Linked DNA regions of Macaca mulatta. The protein of the gene in region 3 interacts with the protein of the main gene of each other region in a pairwise test. Links are inferred from orthologs where the notes say so. Each region holds a gene or a part of one and is shown on either strand. Other genes may lie near its edges.

What was found.
Region 1: the proteins of GRAP2 (region 3) and GAREM1 interact in binary tests that used the Homo sapiens proteins (3 or more experiments, as listed by UniProt). The link is inferred for Macaca mulatta from reciprocal best matches to the Homo sapiens genes GRAP2 and GAREM1.
Region 2: the proteins of GRAP2 (region 3) and RBPMS interact in a two-hybrid assay, tested with the Homo sapiens proteins (2 studies listed by BioGRID and IntAct). The two-hybrid records come from large-scale screens. The link is inferred for Macaca mulatta from reciprocal best matches to the Homo sapiens genes GRAP2 and RBPMS.

The regions. Positions count from the first base shown.
Region 1 is NC_133423.1:60,048,497-60,053,847, forward strand, and holds the start of GAREM1 (GRB2-associated and regulator of MAPK protein 1), read left to right. Parts: upstream 1-1,787; 5' UTR 1,788-2,221; coding exon 2,222-2,342; intron 2,343-5,351.
Region 2 is NC_133413.1:32,158,441-32,164,078, forward strand, and holds the start of RBPMS (RNA-binding protein with multiple splicing), read left to right. Parts: upstream 1-2,074; 5' UTR 2,075-2,635; coding exon 2,636-2,701; intron 2,702-5,638.
Region 3 is NC_133415.1:11,632,988-11,638,530, forward strand, and holds the start of GRAP2 (GRB2-related adapter protein 2), read right to left. Parts: upstream 3,687-5,543; 5' UTR 3,440-3,686; intron 1-3,439. UniProt on the Homo sapiens protein: Interacts with SLP-76 to regulate NF-AT activation. Binds to tyrosine-phosphorylated shc.

The DNA of each region.
Region 1 (5,351 bases), on a different chromosome or scaffold from region 3:
CTAGAGTGCAATGGCAAGATCTGCGCTCACTGCAACCTCCGCCTTCTAGGTTCAAGCGATTCTCCTGCCTCAGCCTCCCGAATAGCTGGGATTACAGGCACCCGCCACCACGCCTGGCTAATGTTTGCATTTTTAGTGGAGACGGGAGACAGGGTTTCACCACGTTGGCCAAGCTGCTCTCAAACTCCTGACCTCAGGTGATCCGCCTGCCTGGGCCTCCCAAAGTGCTGGGATTACAGGTGTGAGCCACCGCGCCCGGCCGAAACACTCTATGTGAGCCATTCTTAGAACTTTATGGACTTCTGATTCTCCATACACTCTATAGTAAACTACTCCCCACTTTTTTCCACAATTTTTTCAAAAAATCAATGTGAATGACTCAAAGGGCAAAACTTTCAGATGAATTTTGTGAAAATTATAGCTAATGCTTCAAAGGGAGAGGATCAGGAAGGTGGGTGTAGAAGAATCTGTTTTTCTTCAAATGTTAATGGAGTGGTTTATTAGCACAGACCTTTTAAACCAAGCCAGGAAAAGGCAGCGGGATGTTTTCAAGTCCCCTTGGGCTGGCGAAGTGGGTACTTGCTGTACCTTATCAAGCACTAAACACTGAATACGTGTTGAAAACAGAGCTGATACGCATCCTTAGCAACCACTCACCTCTGCTATTTTAACAAAATGTCAAGCAAGCAAGAGAAAGAAAGAAAGAAAGAAAAAGAAAGGAAGAAAGAAAGAAAGAAAGAAAGAAAAGAAAGAATTAGCATACAAGGCAGGACATGCCACCTTTATATTCTGAGCTCTGTCCACAGTGAGCAGGCCATGCCAAACATTGGGAGAGACAGAATGGTTGATCATGCAAAGCAAACTGTAGGTTTGAATCCCAGCACGGCCATCTACGAGTTATGAAATCTTGCTAAACTACCTAATGTCTCGGTACATATACCTAGAAAACGAGAATGATCCCAACCTTTAAGATGAGAAGGGAACTGAGTGGGAAAAGTGGATGAGAACAGCTGACCCAGCAGCCTCCCAGTAACCTAGTTTTCCCTTCCCATCTCTGTGTCTACGGTGTTTGGTGGCCTCACCATCTCCCGCCGCCTCCAGCAGTTCCTTCACTCAGTGAAGGTCCTAGACCGAATGGCCACCTTCCTGTATGTGGGTACTGATCACCCACCACCTTTCTGCTTTTCAGTGCTATGCCCTTTTTATCTTGTCTAGCAGCCAAAGCTGAGACTGGTGGGAGTCATTTCCAGCTCCGATGGTGGAGGAGTAGGGTTGACGGGAAATGCCAAGGCGTGCTCCACGCCTGCTGTCCCCAGCCGCGTTGGGCTGTGGCACTCTCCTGACCAATGTCTGGGTCACCAGGAAGCAAGACGGAGCGCCACTAAAGGTCTCTTGTGCCCTGTATTTCGCCACCGCATTGCCAGGATAGGAGTGGAGGCGGACGGTGTCCGACACCAAGACTCAGGGAGCGATCCCTGAGCTCTCTCGGCAATTCCCGGGCTCCGGGAACGGGCCTGGGCGGGGAAGGAGTCGGGACGCGCAGCGGCACCCGGCGAGACTGCAGGGCGCCCGAGCGGTCGGACGGGGGAGCGAGAGCTAAAGCTTGCGGAGCGCGCCGAGCCGCGGGCGCTGGCGGCCACGGCCAGGGAGCTGACGCCGAGCGGAGCCCGCCCGGCCGCGGGAGCTGCGGGAGGCGGAGGCCGAGTGGGGGGCGGAGCAGGCGGCGCCGGGGAGGCGGAGGCGGTGTCTCCCAGAGCTGCGCAGGCGTTGCTCGCACCTTGTTGATTAGTCAGTGCTGGGAGCGCTGCTATGGCGTTTCTCAGACCCGCGGCTCCTCCTCACACGCTCGAGGCGGAGGGAAGGAGGGGTAAGAGGAGGAGGAGGCGAGCGGGCGGCCGCCGCAGCTGCAGACCCAGGGCCAGAGGAGGAGGCGGAGCGGGAGCCGCCGCAGCCACCCGGGCCGCTGCCGCCGCCGCCGCCGCCCGCAGCCGCGGGGCTGCTCTAAGTCTTCTCCGGGCGTGAGGGCACGCGGGGCGCCCCAGCCATGCCCCGCAGCGGCAGCTGAGCCGGGCGCCGGTCCCCTCCCTCTGGGCCGCCCCAGTCGCCGCGCCCCCCGGCTGCCCGCGGCCGGAGCTGCCCGGCGCCTCCCGCGCGCCCCAGACCGCGAACGCCAGCAGCGGCGGCCGCTGAGGCGCGGGTGGTGCCGGCGGCGGCGGGGGAGATGGACCCGGCGCCCTCGCTGGGCTGCAGCCTCAAGGATGTGAAGTGGAGCTCGGTGGCCGTGCCGCTCGACCTCCTGGTCAGCACTTACCGGCTGCCCCAGATCGCGCGGTTGGACAACGGTGAGTCCCAGCTGGGGCGCGGGGCAGACGGGCGAGGACAGCCGTCTCCACGCGGGTGTGCGCGCGTGTGCTGGAGAGGGTGGGACCCGAGGGGAGTGGGCTGCCCGCCCCCGAGCGCCGGAGTTGGCCGGAGCGGCTGCCGCAGCCCTGGCGCGTTGCTCTCAACTCCCTCCAGCAGCAGACAGGGAGGTGGAAATCAGAGTCCTTGCAGTGTAATTAAAAAGGACGCCCTAAAAAAAAAAGTCAACATAGGGAGACCTCTGCAGATCGTAATTTTGGACGCCAGCGATCCCTCCCCACCCGCCTGCAAGAATTACTCAACTAGGGAAACCCTGAAGAGTTATCTTAGGCAACTTTCTTGAGACTATCATTGTGCTCTGGGTGGCATCTTAATTTGGGTGCTCTCCTCCCTGTCTCCCCCATCCCCCGCCAAACTGATTTAAGAGGAAAAGCTCCTGGGTGACCATTGAAAAGGATCTTATTTCTCAGAGACCTTGTATTACCGCTTGTCTGTTTTGTTTAACCCAACCGAAAGTAATTTAGGTCTGTGTGTAGAAAATGTTTTTAGCAGAAGTGATGGTATGCTTAAGGTTAATCATTAGGTTAGCTCATTTCCAGCCTGGAAAAAAAAAATAAATCACCAAAACATATTGATTTGGAACCTGAGTTCAGAACTAACAAGGGTGTATTTCCTGAAACTGACCACCAGAAACCCACCCAGCTCCTTCCCCCAACTGTTTATTCTGCGGTGTGACAGCTGCAAACACACCGTTGCGCATACTGTCAAGCAAGTAGACACCTTTCAGTTTGAGAGTGATGACATGTAAGGTGGCAATTTAGGTGTGTTTGGGCTTCTCTTGTTTTCATCATAACTTCAGTGGGCTTTGGCTTCATGCGATTTTAGACTGTTTGCAGAAAGAAGCCTGCCCTGCTGTGGGGCAGCTGTGGAAGTACCCGGGCCCAGGCTGGCAGACAGGCAGGCAGAGCTGTGGCTGCACAGGCCAGGTCAGGAGAACACTAAGCAGAAAGATGTCATTTCGAGTCACAGGCACTAGGGTTACTCCTTGTTTCCTAGGGTAAAAGAGTGAGTAACATGAGATGTATACATATACAAAGGAGTTTTTATTCTGTTTCTTATCTGTGGGGTTTGATTAGACATTTGTATATCTGATGTGAAAAATAAATGCAGGCAACTTCGTGAAAGCTGGAAAACAGCCTTGGCTTGCTTGCTATCCTCGTTTGATTGTTGGTAGTAGTAGGGTGCATCGGAAATAAGCTGGAAGTTTTAAAACTAGTGATGAAGTGCAGATCACAGTAGCTGTTGAAGCGGAGGGGGGGATTGGGCGGGACACACGGGTGGTGTGCTGAGGCGTTTCTGCTTAGAGTGGGGGTGGGAAAATGTTGTGTGCTTTAAATAGCATCTGCAGACCTGAATTGGTGTGTGTGTGTGTGTGTATTCGCAACGTTTCATTTCCTCCTCCAAAATTGTGTATATTGGAAGGTTGTGAGTCTTACCTTTTCCTACCTTCTCTCATCTCTGCACACTGCCAAATTTGGTAGCTAGGCAGAGAGCATTGCTGCATGTGGTATAAAAGTCACTCAAAAGCTTCATTAAACTGAAAGTTTAAAGGGGCGGAATATCACTTTCAGACATGACTTTTAGTTTTATTTCCCACTTTTCTATCCCTGCCATTCATAAAAAGGATCTGAATCAGCAGTGTACTCATCCCACACTTCTTTCTAAAATGAGGACGTGGGTAGTGAGTCTTAACACTGTGTCCTTTCAAGCTGTGGAATGGATTTTGATCACTACATGTAATTCCAATTCTTCATTGTAAATTTCTCTTATTTCCTTATTGCCGCTTGAGAATCATAGTGGCACATACACATTTGGAATCATTGCCAGATACTGCTTTATAACTTGCTTCTTTCACTTAACAGTCCCATCTCATTTAAACATTTTTGTTAACATGATTTTTAATAACTGCCAAAGAGTTCATGGGCTAAGCTATACCATGTAATTTCTGCCCCTATTGTGGACATTATTAAGCTATATCATTTTGTGCTATTAAAAATTGTGGTATAATGAATACTCTTGTACATACATCTGGGAGTTTTTTGGTTAGAATATATTTCTACTTTGCTGAACAAGCATGTCAGTACTATTAAAATCCTTGATACACATTGTCAAATTGCTTTAGCGACTAAAGGAAATCCTCATTTACACCAACGTGAGCATTGTGGTAGTATCAGTCTGCCCACATCTTGAAAATACTAAGTATTTACAAAAAAATTCTCTACTAATTTGATTGGCGAAAGTGTTGTTTCAGCAGTTGAATTTGGGTAGACTTTAAAAGAGTCAATTGTAGATTCTGTGCATGTTTTTAAACATGTTTCACACAGTTTAGGACAGGTTGAGGACATGCTGGCATATTTATAAATGTTATAGGTGAAATCTTAAGTTTTGTGCTATCCTCATCCTGTGTTTGCCTTTTCCCCAGTTTTAGTACTGCAGGTACATTTTACATCGCACACGCCCACCCTATACTTAGACATGAAAGGTAGTCATTTTCCAAATCACTTGTTTTTAAAGAGACTAGAACAAAATTGAAAAACATGCCAGTAGTTGACATTATGCCAAGAGGAAATGATTGGCTAATTTTAAATACTTTTTAAAGAACATTAAAAAAATCTAATTTCACAACTATTGACTATCAAAAGCCTACTATGGGCTGGTACATTTCTGGATGCATAATATGTATTGTCTCAAATCCTCAGCAACACAATTTTTAAGAACTTCAGAAACCTAAGATTCAGAGAAATTGACTTGCCTGAACACTCGTACCTAGTAAATGGTGGAGTGGAATTTCCAGCCGACCTTCTGACTCTGAAGACTGACCTCTTATCTCAAACTGGGCTACCTCCTTATGCTAAAGGAGAGAAGGGTTGAGGTTGTTCTGACATCTGCTCTAAATAGGTTCACTGTGTCTCTGAGAGCTTGAGGACTGG
Region 2 (5,638 bases), on a different chromosome or scaffold from region 3:
TAATTGAGGGAGAAGCTGGCAGTGCAAAAGGCTGCCAGTTAAGGCAATCAATACATCCAAACACGTGCAAACTTTCCAGATTCACTGTAGCCTTGTCTCTTCTGAATGTCTTGGGTTGCAATTTCAATAGACTTGGTTTATTTTCATCCAGGATACATGTTTGTTCCCCTTAGAGAGAAATCACATTATGACAGCAATTAAAAAACATCTTTTCCCTATGGAAATCTTCCTGTTTCAAAATCTCCAAACCCCCAAGATAAACCCAGTATGTAAATCCAGGTATCACTACTGTTTTTCTCATAATGCCCTTAAAGCAAATATTTTCCTCGCTTTCTATAATCGGAAAGAGGATTCTGAGAGTATCTTGGCTCCATACCACTTTATTTTTTTGTCTTTTCTTTTTTTCCCCTCTTTGTGGAGAACAGGGTCTCACTATGTTGCCCAGACAGGTCTTGAACTTCTGAGCTCAAGCAATCCTCTTTCCTCTATCTCCCTAAGTGCTGAGATTCCAAGCGTGAGCCACCGTATTACTTTAAACTCCCTAAAGGGAGGGTCCTTATCTGCAACGCCCACAGCCGCCCCCCCCCATCCCCAGCAGCACTTAAATCAGTATAAAGAATGTCTGCTGGGGGGTGGGGAGAAACAGTTAAGCAAATACTGTAGTTAGAAACTTACTGGTGCAGGACAGGAGCAGCAGGCTGGGACGGAGAATTCCTGGGAGTAAGAAGTGGGGCAGAACCCACTGATACATGGAGTTCCACATTTATACATTTGTAGCAGTCAAATCTAAGAGTTTAACACAGTGGTTCCAGACGGTAATTCCATCAGTTTGGGAGGCCAAAAGCCGGAGGATCACTTGAGGCCAAGAGTTCGAGATCAGCCTGGGCAACAAAGTGAGACCCTCATTTTTCTAAAAAAAAAAAAAACCAGAAGCTTTAACGATCGAGTATTGGAAAAGCTTTCTAAGGCCCGGGAAAAATGGAAGTTTCCTTAATAATGTTAGCTTCCATGTACTGTAAACCTAAACGAAGCAAGAATGAATACTGGGTGCTGTACATAGTTCTATCAACCTACAATCTCGAAAACGCTAGGAGACACATTCAGCTGCTCCCATTTAACGGATGAGGAAACAAGTACGCAATCCTGAAGTTGGTGCAAAGCCCAGGCCCCCTTTCTTCTTCAAGCGTGCTTCCAGCCTCTGAAATTCCTCCGTGTGGACCCCGAGCTCTGCCTGCAATGAGGAATATTCACTTTGCCAACAAATATTTATTGAGTGCCTACTATACACCCGGTAGCTCGTTTAAATAGCCGTGGGATTAAAAAGATAAATAGGGTAAGTTTGTGGTTTTTTCTTCCAGGAAGGAGCTTTCTGAAGGGTGAGGGAGAGGCCAAGTAAACAATCCCAGAACAGTCGGGTGAGAGTTGGGAGAGGAGTCGGGGGCCGCGGGACGCCCAGGCAGCGAAGCGGGGAAGGCTCCGGGCGCGTCGCAGGACCCGCGCTGGAGATGGGTTTGAAGCCCTGTCCTGAAAAAGCCGGCCCGGAGGGGGCTGTCCCCAGTATCCCTCGAGTTCTCATCCTGTCATTCAAGCAGCAGGGGAAGAACCGGGTCTGGCTCGGGAAGGGTGGGCTTAGGGCCAGGGGTGCAAATCCCTTGGTAAAAGCCGGCAAACAAAAGTCGCACACATCCCAGCTCCCGGTCCTGGCCCCGGCGGGGCAGGGTCCCCGAAGTCCCGGGGCGCGCAGACGCCGGGGCCCCCGGGGGCCGAGGGAACTGCAGTACCCGACCTCCCCTGCCCTCGGCCTCCAGGGCCCTCGCCCTCCGACCAGCCGCCGAGTCTGGGGCTGGGGTCGCCGCTTCCGCCCGCCGCCCGCGGCCCCTCCCCGGCGCGCGCCATCCGGCCGCCGGCCCCTCCTCCCGCGGGGGGCTCCGTCCCGCGCCCCGTCCCTCCGGGCTGCAGCCGGCAGCCCACGTCCAGGGAGGGCGGAGGGAGGAGGAGAGGCGCGGAGAGGAGGGAGGGGAGAGGGGAGGGAGGAAGACGAGAGAAAGGGAGCTGCTTCCATCCCGGACTTCCCAGAGCCTGCCTGGAGCGCGCACTCAGCGGCTCTCGGGTCCCAGCGTCCCAGCCGCCGCCCGCGCCTCTCCGCCCCGCTCCTCCTCCTCTTCCTCCTCCTCCTCTTCCTCCTCCTCCTCTTCCTCCTCCTCCTCTCTAGGCACCCCCGTCCCCTCCTTCCAGCGGCTGCAGCCCCCAGCCCCAACTCTCTGCGCTTACTCCTGGGACGCGCGTTCTCGCCCCATCCTTTGCTTCCTTCCTTCCTTCTTCCTTCCTCCCCTGGCTCCCGCCCTCCCTATCCAGGTCGCCCTCCCGGGGCCCGATTGTCTCGGTGCCCAGCTCTCGGCCCGCGCCCTGCCCCGTCTCTCCCTCGTACTTCCTGAGTCGCCCGCCGCTGCCGTCGCAGTCTCGCCGCGGGAGCCCCAGCCCGACAGCCACTGCCCCGGCTCCAGCTCCAGCCCCGCAGCCCGCGGCGCCCGCCCGAGGGAGCCCCGGCGCCCGGGGAAGGCTACAGTGGGCGAGCGCGCCCTCGCCCAGCCCCGCGCCCCAGCCCTGCCCGGCCCGGCGAGGAAGGACCGGGAAGATGAACAACGGCGGCAAAGCCGAGAAGGAGAACACCCCGAGCGAGGCCAACCTTCAGGAGGAGGAGGTACTGGGCGGCTCGGTGCAGTGGCGGGGGCGATCCGGGACCCAGTGCGGGCGGCCGGCGGGGCGCGGGCGCGGGCCCGGGGCGCGGCGGTGGAAGGTTTAGGCATGGCCCGTGCCCGGGACGCAGCCCCGCAGTGTGGCCCGGGGAGGGTGGATCTCGGGAAAGTGTGTTTTTGTGTCCACGCGCGTCTGCGGGCCCCAAATTGCGTAACTCTAAGGACTTTTCGGAGACTTTTGTAAGTATAATGCTCAGCTTTGTTTGCCCGGGATTTAAAAAGTGGAACCGAGAGCTGACTCCTGGGTGACCTCAGATGATCGGGACTCGGAGGGTCAGGACTTAGGGCTGGGGCTGGAAATTGTGTGTGGATTCGGGGTAGCGGGGGGGGGCAGTTTAAGGAAGAAACTTGGGGAAAAGTTTTCATTAAAAGATACCTCTGTTCCCTGCCCCCTCCCTTTCCGTGTTAAAAGTTCTTGGTGAAATATCTTTCTAGCCGAGGGTTTTTGGATTAATAGATAACTCATCAGCCACATTCTTCTCTGCTGAGTCAAAGACCCCGAACCTGGGCGGTGAACGCTTGCGAATTTAGGGCCGTGCAGATGAGGGGAGCAGAATAAGAGGGTTAAAAACGCAGCAATTCACCAAATGCTCATCGAGGATACTTTTATAGGACTTTGACTTCTGAGCACGCATTTTGGGTGGTGCGTCTTCACGATGAAAGTTTTGTGACTGCGGAGCGTTCCTTCGGTGGAAACAAAATTGAGTAGATGTAGTCAGAAGGGGAGTCGGACTCAGGAACAAACGTTTCAGAATTCAGTAGTAGGGTATTTGTGGTATCCTACCAAATGACTGTTTCTGCAGGTACATTATCTGGAGTCCAAGAAATTACTTCTGGCGTACTTTTTAATATCACACACAGTTGAGTTCTTAACATTCTAGAGGAACTTGAGAGTGTGTGCAGATGCAGGAAAGTGCATGGCTCAATATGACCCGAAAAGATTCACACAGGTATTGCATCCTGATCTAGGTGAACACAGAAGGTAAACGGATTCTAAAGCGTTAGGACGTTGAGATCATTGTTGAGACACTGTTGTGTGCAAACTTCAATTCTGATAGTGAAACCAAAATTGCAGAGGAATTCATTAATGCATACAAGTTCTCTGCACATTGTCCACTTGGGAAATGGGAACTATTTAGGTGGAGAAGGTAGAGGAGCGAGACTATGCCAAACAGTGCAAAATCGGAGATTTTACTCTCTTACCCAGTTGTATGGTAGTGAAAACCTAGATGAGTTGCAGTCAGTCAAAAATTGCTTTCTCACCCGAGGACATTTTCTATTTTATTATAAAAGACTATTTGAAGAGTTGTTTACATGCATGTTTTCTAATTACAAGTGTAGGAATGCTACTGGCGTTTCTTTTTTCAAAGCAATGGAGAGTTGAATGGTATGTTCTGACTTTTTTTCTTGAACTTTACTGGCTGCTTTGCTATTTATTTTCCCTACCACTTAAAAAATTTTAAAAATAATGCTTTTTTAAATTTGCTTTTTTAGGAATTACTATAGTTAACTAATTCACTTACCATATCAAAATAATTATCGCTTCAGAAATCTTCCTATTTCAGCTAAATGTGCAATCTGTTTGCTTCTCAGGGTTAGAATATTATATCAAACCATCTTTATTTACCCAGTTGAGAAAACTTTTTTTTTTTCCTTTTGGTGGGTAGCAAAAGAGGTTCAATGTCCTAAAAATCATACCCACTTAAAATTAAGTATAGAAAAGGCACATTTTTCCGCTTGACCCATCTTAACAGCTGCCAGGACCGAGGGATTGCCTGCCCTGTTCCTGGACGCTCCTCTGTCCTTGCGAGGTTGTGTGTAATAATTGCTGTATAATCGCGGACCATTGCAGTATGGTTGCTGCCTCTTACTTGTCCTGTTACCTGACAGTGTTCTTTTTCAGGTAGGAATGGCATGTGGCTCTAGAAAGTATGGATATTTTTAGCAAAACACTTGTTATGTAAAAAATAAGGGGACTGGTAGGAAGATTTCAGAACCTAAGTTGTCCAAGAGATGTCGTGTACAAAACAGATAAGACTGTGAAGAGAGGGGGTTTATAATGTCAGAAATTCAGGAAAAGAAACTAAGGTGGCCTGAATGATCCGGGTAATTTTGCCTTAATTTCCTATTTTTGGTTTATATTTTGTTCTTGAAAAACTCTTACCCTCTTTTTTGGTTTTTTTCTTTCTAACCCTGAAAGCCACAATTAAAATAAATAGGGTATTTGGTAAGTGCCATTAATGAGCCCGGCATTACACAAAACCACTACATTGACCCTTTCTCTGCCCACCCATCGCATCAGCAACTTGCTCTTAAACACATTTAAAAACCTTGGCAGTGGACTCCGGTAAACAGAACACACACATACAACATATATATATATATATACACACACACACATAATGACAAGAGAGGAAAAATGTGTTTTGTTGTAATTTCTGGTGGCCATTGAACTGACATGGAAAAATGAGTCCAATCGTCATTAAGGGAAAATAGTTTATTTCACAGATCATGAGGGTGATTTCGGCTTTCTCCACATTGAATCCAGGTTTGTTTTTTTCTGTGTTTCTAGTTTTGAAATGAATTCCTTTTATCAACTAGTGTATTTTAGCGCTTTTGAGAGTTTCTAATGCTTACCCTGAAATAATTGGTTCTAATTGTATAGAATGAACAGTTCAGGATCTAAGAAAATTTTTGCAGCTTTTTAGGGTTGGACGTTTTTGAGAACTTGGGCAGAACGTGTATTAATACTTCTACTTTAGATAGCATTGAAAACTTTGAGGAAAAATAATTTTAGGATTTGGCTAGCCAGTTGTGTAAGAGAGATGATACATTTAGCTTTCTGGTTTTTAATGTATTATTACATTAAATACGTGTATAAT
Region 3 (5,543 bases):
CCAATGTTGAAGAAAGAAGCATGAGACCCAACTGCAAAATATGTTCTTATTTTTAAAAATTAGATTTAAAAAAAAAATGGTATAGAAGACATTTGGGGGGACAAATGGGGAAGGTTAAATCTGCACTAGCTATCAGGTGATATTAACGACTTACTGTTTATCCTCTTAGGCCTAATGATGGTATTGTGGTTAGATAGAGGAATGCCTTTATTCTTAGATGAGTACTGAATTATTTCAGAGTGAAGTATTATTTTATCTGCAACTTACAAGTAATTCAGAGAGAAATAGGTATAGATGGAACAAATATGGCAAAAAGTTAGCAATCGTTGAACGTAGATAGTGAGTACTAATATTTCAACTTTTCTTTATGTTTTATGTTCAGCTATTTTCTCACTATCTTTTCTTTTTTATTTTTATTTTTGAGACAGGGTCTTACTTTGTTGACCAGGCTGGAGTGCAGTGGCACGATCTCAGTTCACGGAAACGTCTGCCTCCCAGGTGCAAGCAATTCTCGTGCCTCAGTCTCTCAAGTAGCTGGGATTATAGGCACCTGCCATCATGCCCGGCTAATTTTTGTATTTTGGTAGAGACAGGGTTTCAGTGTATTGGCCAGGCTTGTCTCCAATTCCTGACCTCAGACGATCTGCCTGCCTTGGCCTCCCAAGGGCTGGGATTACAGGTGTGAGCCACTGTGCCCAGCCGTTCTTCACTGTCTTCTTAAGGAACGTCTTAACATTTTCTTTGGAGAGCATGTAAGACTTTTATCATCATGTACTTTGTGATAGTTTAATTCTCTAAAAGTGTTGTTTATAAATGCATATTTAAAAAGAAAATCTTTAAAAATTATTTACTGAATTCCTACTGACTCAAGTTTATTGAAACTTAACGTTAACACTGTTGAAGAGGACTTGGTGCCTAGCGCCAGGCCTGGCATATAGTAATTGATCGATAAATGTTTGTAAAATGCTTATCTGTTAAACAGGGCCATGCTTTCTTAAGAATTTTTAAGTGGAAAAGAAAGGGCAGGCCAGGTGCGGTGGTTCACACCTGTAATCCCAACACTTTGGGAGGCTGAGGCAGGCAAATTGCTTGAGTTCAGGAGTTCAAGACCAGCCGGCGCAACATGGCAAAACTCTGTCTCTACTAAAAATACAATATTAGCCAGGTGTGGTGGTGTGCACCTGTAGTCCCAGCTACTTGAGAGGCTGAGGTGGGAGGATCACTAAGCCCAAGGTAGTTGAGTCTGCAGTGAGCTATGATTGCACCACTGCACTCTAGCCTGAGTGACAGAGTGAGACCCTGTCTCAAAAAAAAAAAAAAAAAAAAAAAAGACTCATGAGACTGTGTTATCATCATTATTATTATTTATTTTTGGAGATCCGCCCACCTCGGCCTCCCAAAGTGCTAGGATTATAAGCATGAGCCACCGCACCCAGCCAAGGCTGTGCTATTTCTTTACAGACCAAGGTACGCTGGGCAAATACCTCAAAAGGACAAAATGGGGACCTATCGACCCTATTGTTTGATTCAAACAACTTATAAAGATTCTTGAACAAGTTTTGAGTTTGTTTTATAGGGGCACAAAAATGAATAATCTGCCCCCAGGATTATCCAGCAGCAACTGTTACTTATTTAAGAAATCCTGATGGAATCACACTTACTGACACATTTTTCGAACGACTGCAGACTTTTCTTGATCCAGGAAAAAAGGGCAAGTTCTACTCAAGTTTAGGCATGAACCCTGTCAGTCATCAACACCAGTGGGTGTTATTATCTGGGAATCAATAAATATGTTGGAACTAGGATCATTTTCAGCTCTTCTAGAAAGCAATAGTTCTAAAAGAGATGGCTTCAGGAAATAAGTAAGAGACATTTTGTATAAGAAGTTGGAAGAAAATGATCAAGAGTCAAAGAAATAACTAATGATGACATTGTCTTGCATTTTTATAGTGCATTTTTCCTAAGGTATTTCATATCTATGTTAACTCATTTATTCTTACAATATCCCTACGAGGTAGACAGAACAATTGAAAGGGATTTTCACCAGGCCTAAGACGTCGGAGATATTCAAAAGGATATTGTATTAGCAACAGAAATATTTCTTCATATTGAATAGATTGATCATCTCTTTCTCCTCTGCTTCAGTAAAGTCATTTTTTAAAAAGATAAAATCTATTACAATTTGGGGAGAATAAGATTTCAGTTTACCACATGGGAGACACTCCAAGTTTAATCTAAAAAAGCAGTTTTATTCAATAATATAGGGCCACCTCTCTTTTACAAAAAAACAAAAAAGGGTATGAGTCAGATATTTTTCAAATTTGAAAAGTAAATATACTTAGGTGGTCCTCTATTTACACAGTGTTCCTTATTTAATAGCAGATGGTTTTGTAAAGAGGGTCACTATAAAATTATTTTATAAAGTTTTATATACAATACTGGATTGTTAAAGGAGAGTAACTTCTGCTAAATGCTCTTTCTGAAACCAAAAATAAGAAACAAAAAGGACCCACTAAAGAACTAAACCGTTAATGACAAACGTTGCTGCACAGAACAAAAGATTCTTCGACCTGAAGTTTCCCATCCTCGGATAACGTAACGAGAGCACACGAAATTTTTCCTATTGGATGTTTAGATCTAAAACATTTCCCTCTCCTAGTTTATCTAGGGATGTATATGTTCAATAGTGTGCAAATTATGTTGCATATACCTTATTAAGAAGGCCTAATTCCAGGTAGGTAAATACGGTAATTTTTTTTGACAGTATACCTGTCAGCGCAATACGATACATTTTAAATTAGTGAAACCGTTGGTTGGTATGTTCAATCCTCATGTTCAGGAAGAGTTAGGACAAAGAACACAAAGCAGCTAACTTCAGACTGGATGCCTAAACCAGAGACAGTCACAGGGATGGAGCCTAACGGCTAGTACAAAGAGAGACAATACCCTTCCAAAATACACTTCAACACAAAGTCTTCTTTTTTGTAAAGGAATGAAAACTGGTGTTCTTTGTATAGGTAAGAAAAATGCAAACAGAACTAGAAATTCAAGCAAAGGGAGAAATCCTGATCTCAGAGTGCTGGTGTTCATTCATCACTGCTCAGCCCTCTACCACCCCCTCCAACCCCTTCCAATTTGGATTAAATCCTGACCATGGTGAAGTAGAATTTTTACCTCTGTGATCCCAAGGTCGAAAATCTTTCCCCGAGATGCTTCTGAAGCCAGTTTGTGGAGATTTTTGTGTTATGGACTGGGTAAGGAACAAGCGTTCTCCCAGTTCACTTGATAGAAGTCAAATCCCATCACCACAAACATTGTCACGGCAAAAGGTTTAGAGACATTAGCTGATGGGACTTAAAAGCAGTATTCAGAGAACTAATGAGATTCATTTTAATTAACTCATACAAAATATATGTACAGATATTGTATAATGACATACCTTTTGGAAGAGAAGTGGTTTGTTGAATTTATGTCTTGGCTTTGATGCCGAGTTATTAGAATCCTTTCTGGCAAGAAGGAAGACAAATTCAAGCATCAGAATTACTGCATTTCAGAGTACGGATCCACTTTGTGCTGTCTTCCATGTACCACTCTGAAAGAGGGTGCAAGTTTACAGATCCATTAACTGTGCCTCCTCCTCCCCACCTCTTACTCCCTCCTCCAAACTAACCCTAGTCAGCCCTGCAGCCTGCAGGCAAACCACACAGGAACTAGCACATACGGGGCTTCAGAGAGTTGGGCGTGAGCCTTAGATTATGTGGTTTTGTTTTCTTGCTGCCAGTGTTGAACTAAAATGCAGGAGGTTCACTGAAATACTTTTGCTTCTTTATGCTAGGTTTCAGTTTTAACAATATCCCTCCTGAACACTTATGTTCACATAAGAAAATTTCTAGTCCTAGATATGGTCCATCAGCAAGTCGATCTTAAGGAAAACTCTTATTCTCTTAGTACAGTCATGCAGCCCAAGGAACATTAGGGCTTCTTGGGGGAACTTATTTAAGAGCACCCTTGATCACTCACAATGTTAAAATCCCAGGGAAGATGCTTTGTTCATGCGCTCAGTCTGTAATATTACTCTTGACAAAAAAAGAAGAAACATTCTGAGCTGGGATGACTTCTCACCCCAGGTTTGCCACAGTTCAGCATGAGTTGGAACCAGTTCCTTCGATTTCTGGGACTTCAATTTGTGTTGAGTCTTGGACTGAAGGCTTTTCGGGATTTAAGACTTTCCATTGACCTTATATTTTGTTACCTTCAACTTCCTTAGTTCTTACCTTTAAATGTACCACTCACCCTTCCCCCTATATCAAATGCAACTTGTGAAGGCCTCTTCCTTTCTCTTTGCTCTTGCTAGAAAATGGATTGCCAACGTTGCATCTTTTACAGAAAATTAGAGACATTGCTACTTGCTAAGTGGTGCCATTCAGAGTTTGGGAACTGGATCCAAGATGAGGAGGGAAATGTTGGCTCACCAGAATGTTCCTAGCATTAATCCCTGGAATACCAAGAGGGCAGTGTCAAGGAGAGACTCAGTTTGGGTTCTAAAATTTAAACTTTTTCTGCAATGTGAAATGGCATCCTTTTCCATCTCTTGACTTCTTTATATCTAAACCTTGCTTAAAATTTACTTTCTTAAAACCTTTTCCTTGGTTATAATTGCTCAATATTTTTATTGAAATAGAAAAGAATCAGCAGAGTGTCATGGTGATAGAAAATGCTCAGTAAACATTTGTCGAATGAGTTAAAGGAGGTAATTTTCTGCCCATAACTCCTTTTTTTTTTTTCTTTTGAGATGGAGTTTCACTCTTCGTGCCCAGGCTGGAATGCAATGGCACGATCTTGGCTCACTGCAACCTCTGCCTCCCGGGTACAAGTGATTCTCCTGCCTCAGCCACCCGAGTAGCTGGGATTACAGGTACCTGCCACCATGCCTGGCTAATTATTTTTAGTAGAGACAGGGTTTCACCATGTCAGCCAGGCTGGTCTTGAACTCGTGACTTCAGATGATCCGCCTGCCTCGACCTCCCAAAGTGCTGGGATTACAGGCGTGAGCCACCGCACCCGGCCGTGTAACTCTTTAATAACAGGCTTTCTTCTTATTGATGCAAGTTTGTCAAATTTTCTTAAATCCTGGTTACATCTGAAAAGGATTTCTGCTATTTCCACATTATAAAGATAAAATATAAAAAATAACAACATCTTGCTACTTTAAAAATAATAACATCTCAACCTTGGCCTCAGAATTCTTCAGCCTCCTAAGGACCTTCTTGGATCATTACATTGAACAGCTCTATTGCCAAGTTTTTAAATGCTGAAATCCTCTGGCTACAGTCCTTAGTCTTCGATAGCTCCCAAGTCAATGGTTTTGAAATGGTTAAAGGAGTCCCTAAAATTCTATGGTTGGGGAGTGGGAGCGAAGGGAAAATGCTGAATGGTATTTCACGGAAACTATTATGGTGTTTTCAGCTTGTACCCCAATGAAGAAGCTAATTTCGCACCGGGCACTACTCCCCAGGGAGCAGAATATAATCCTTCCCCTTACA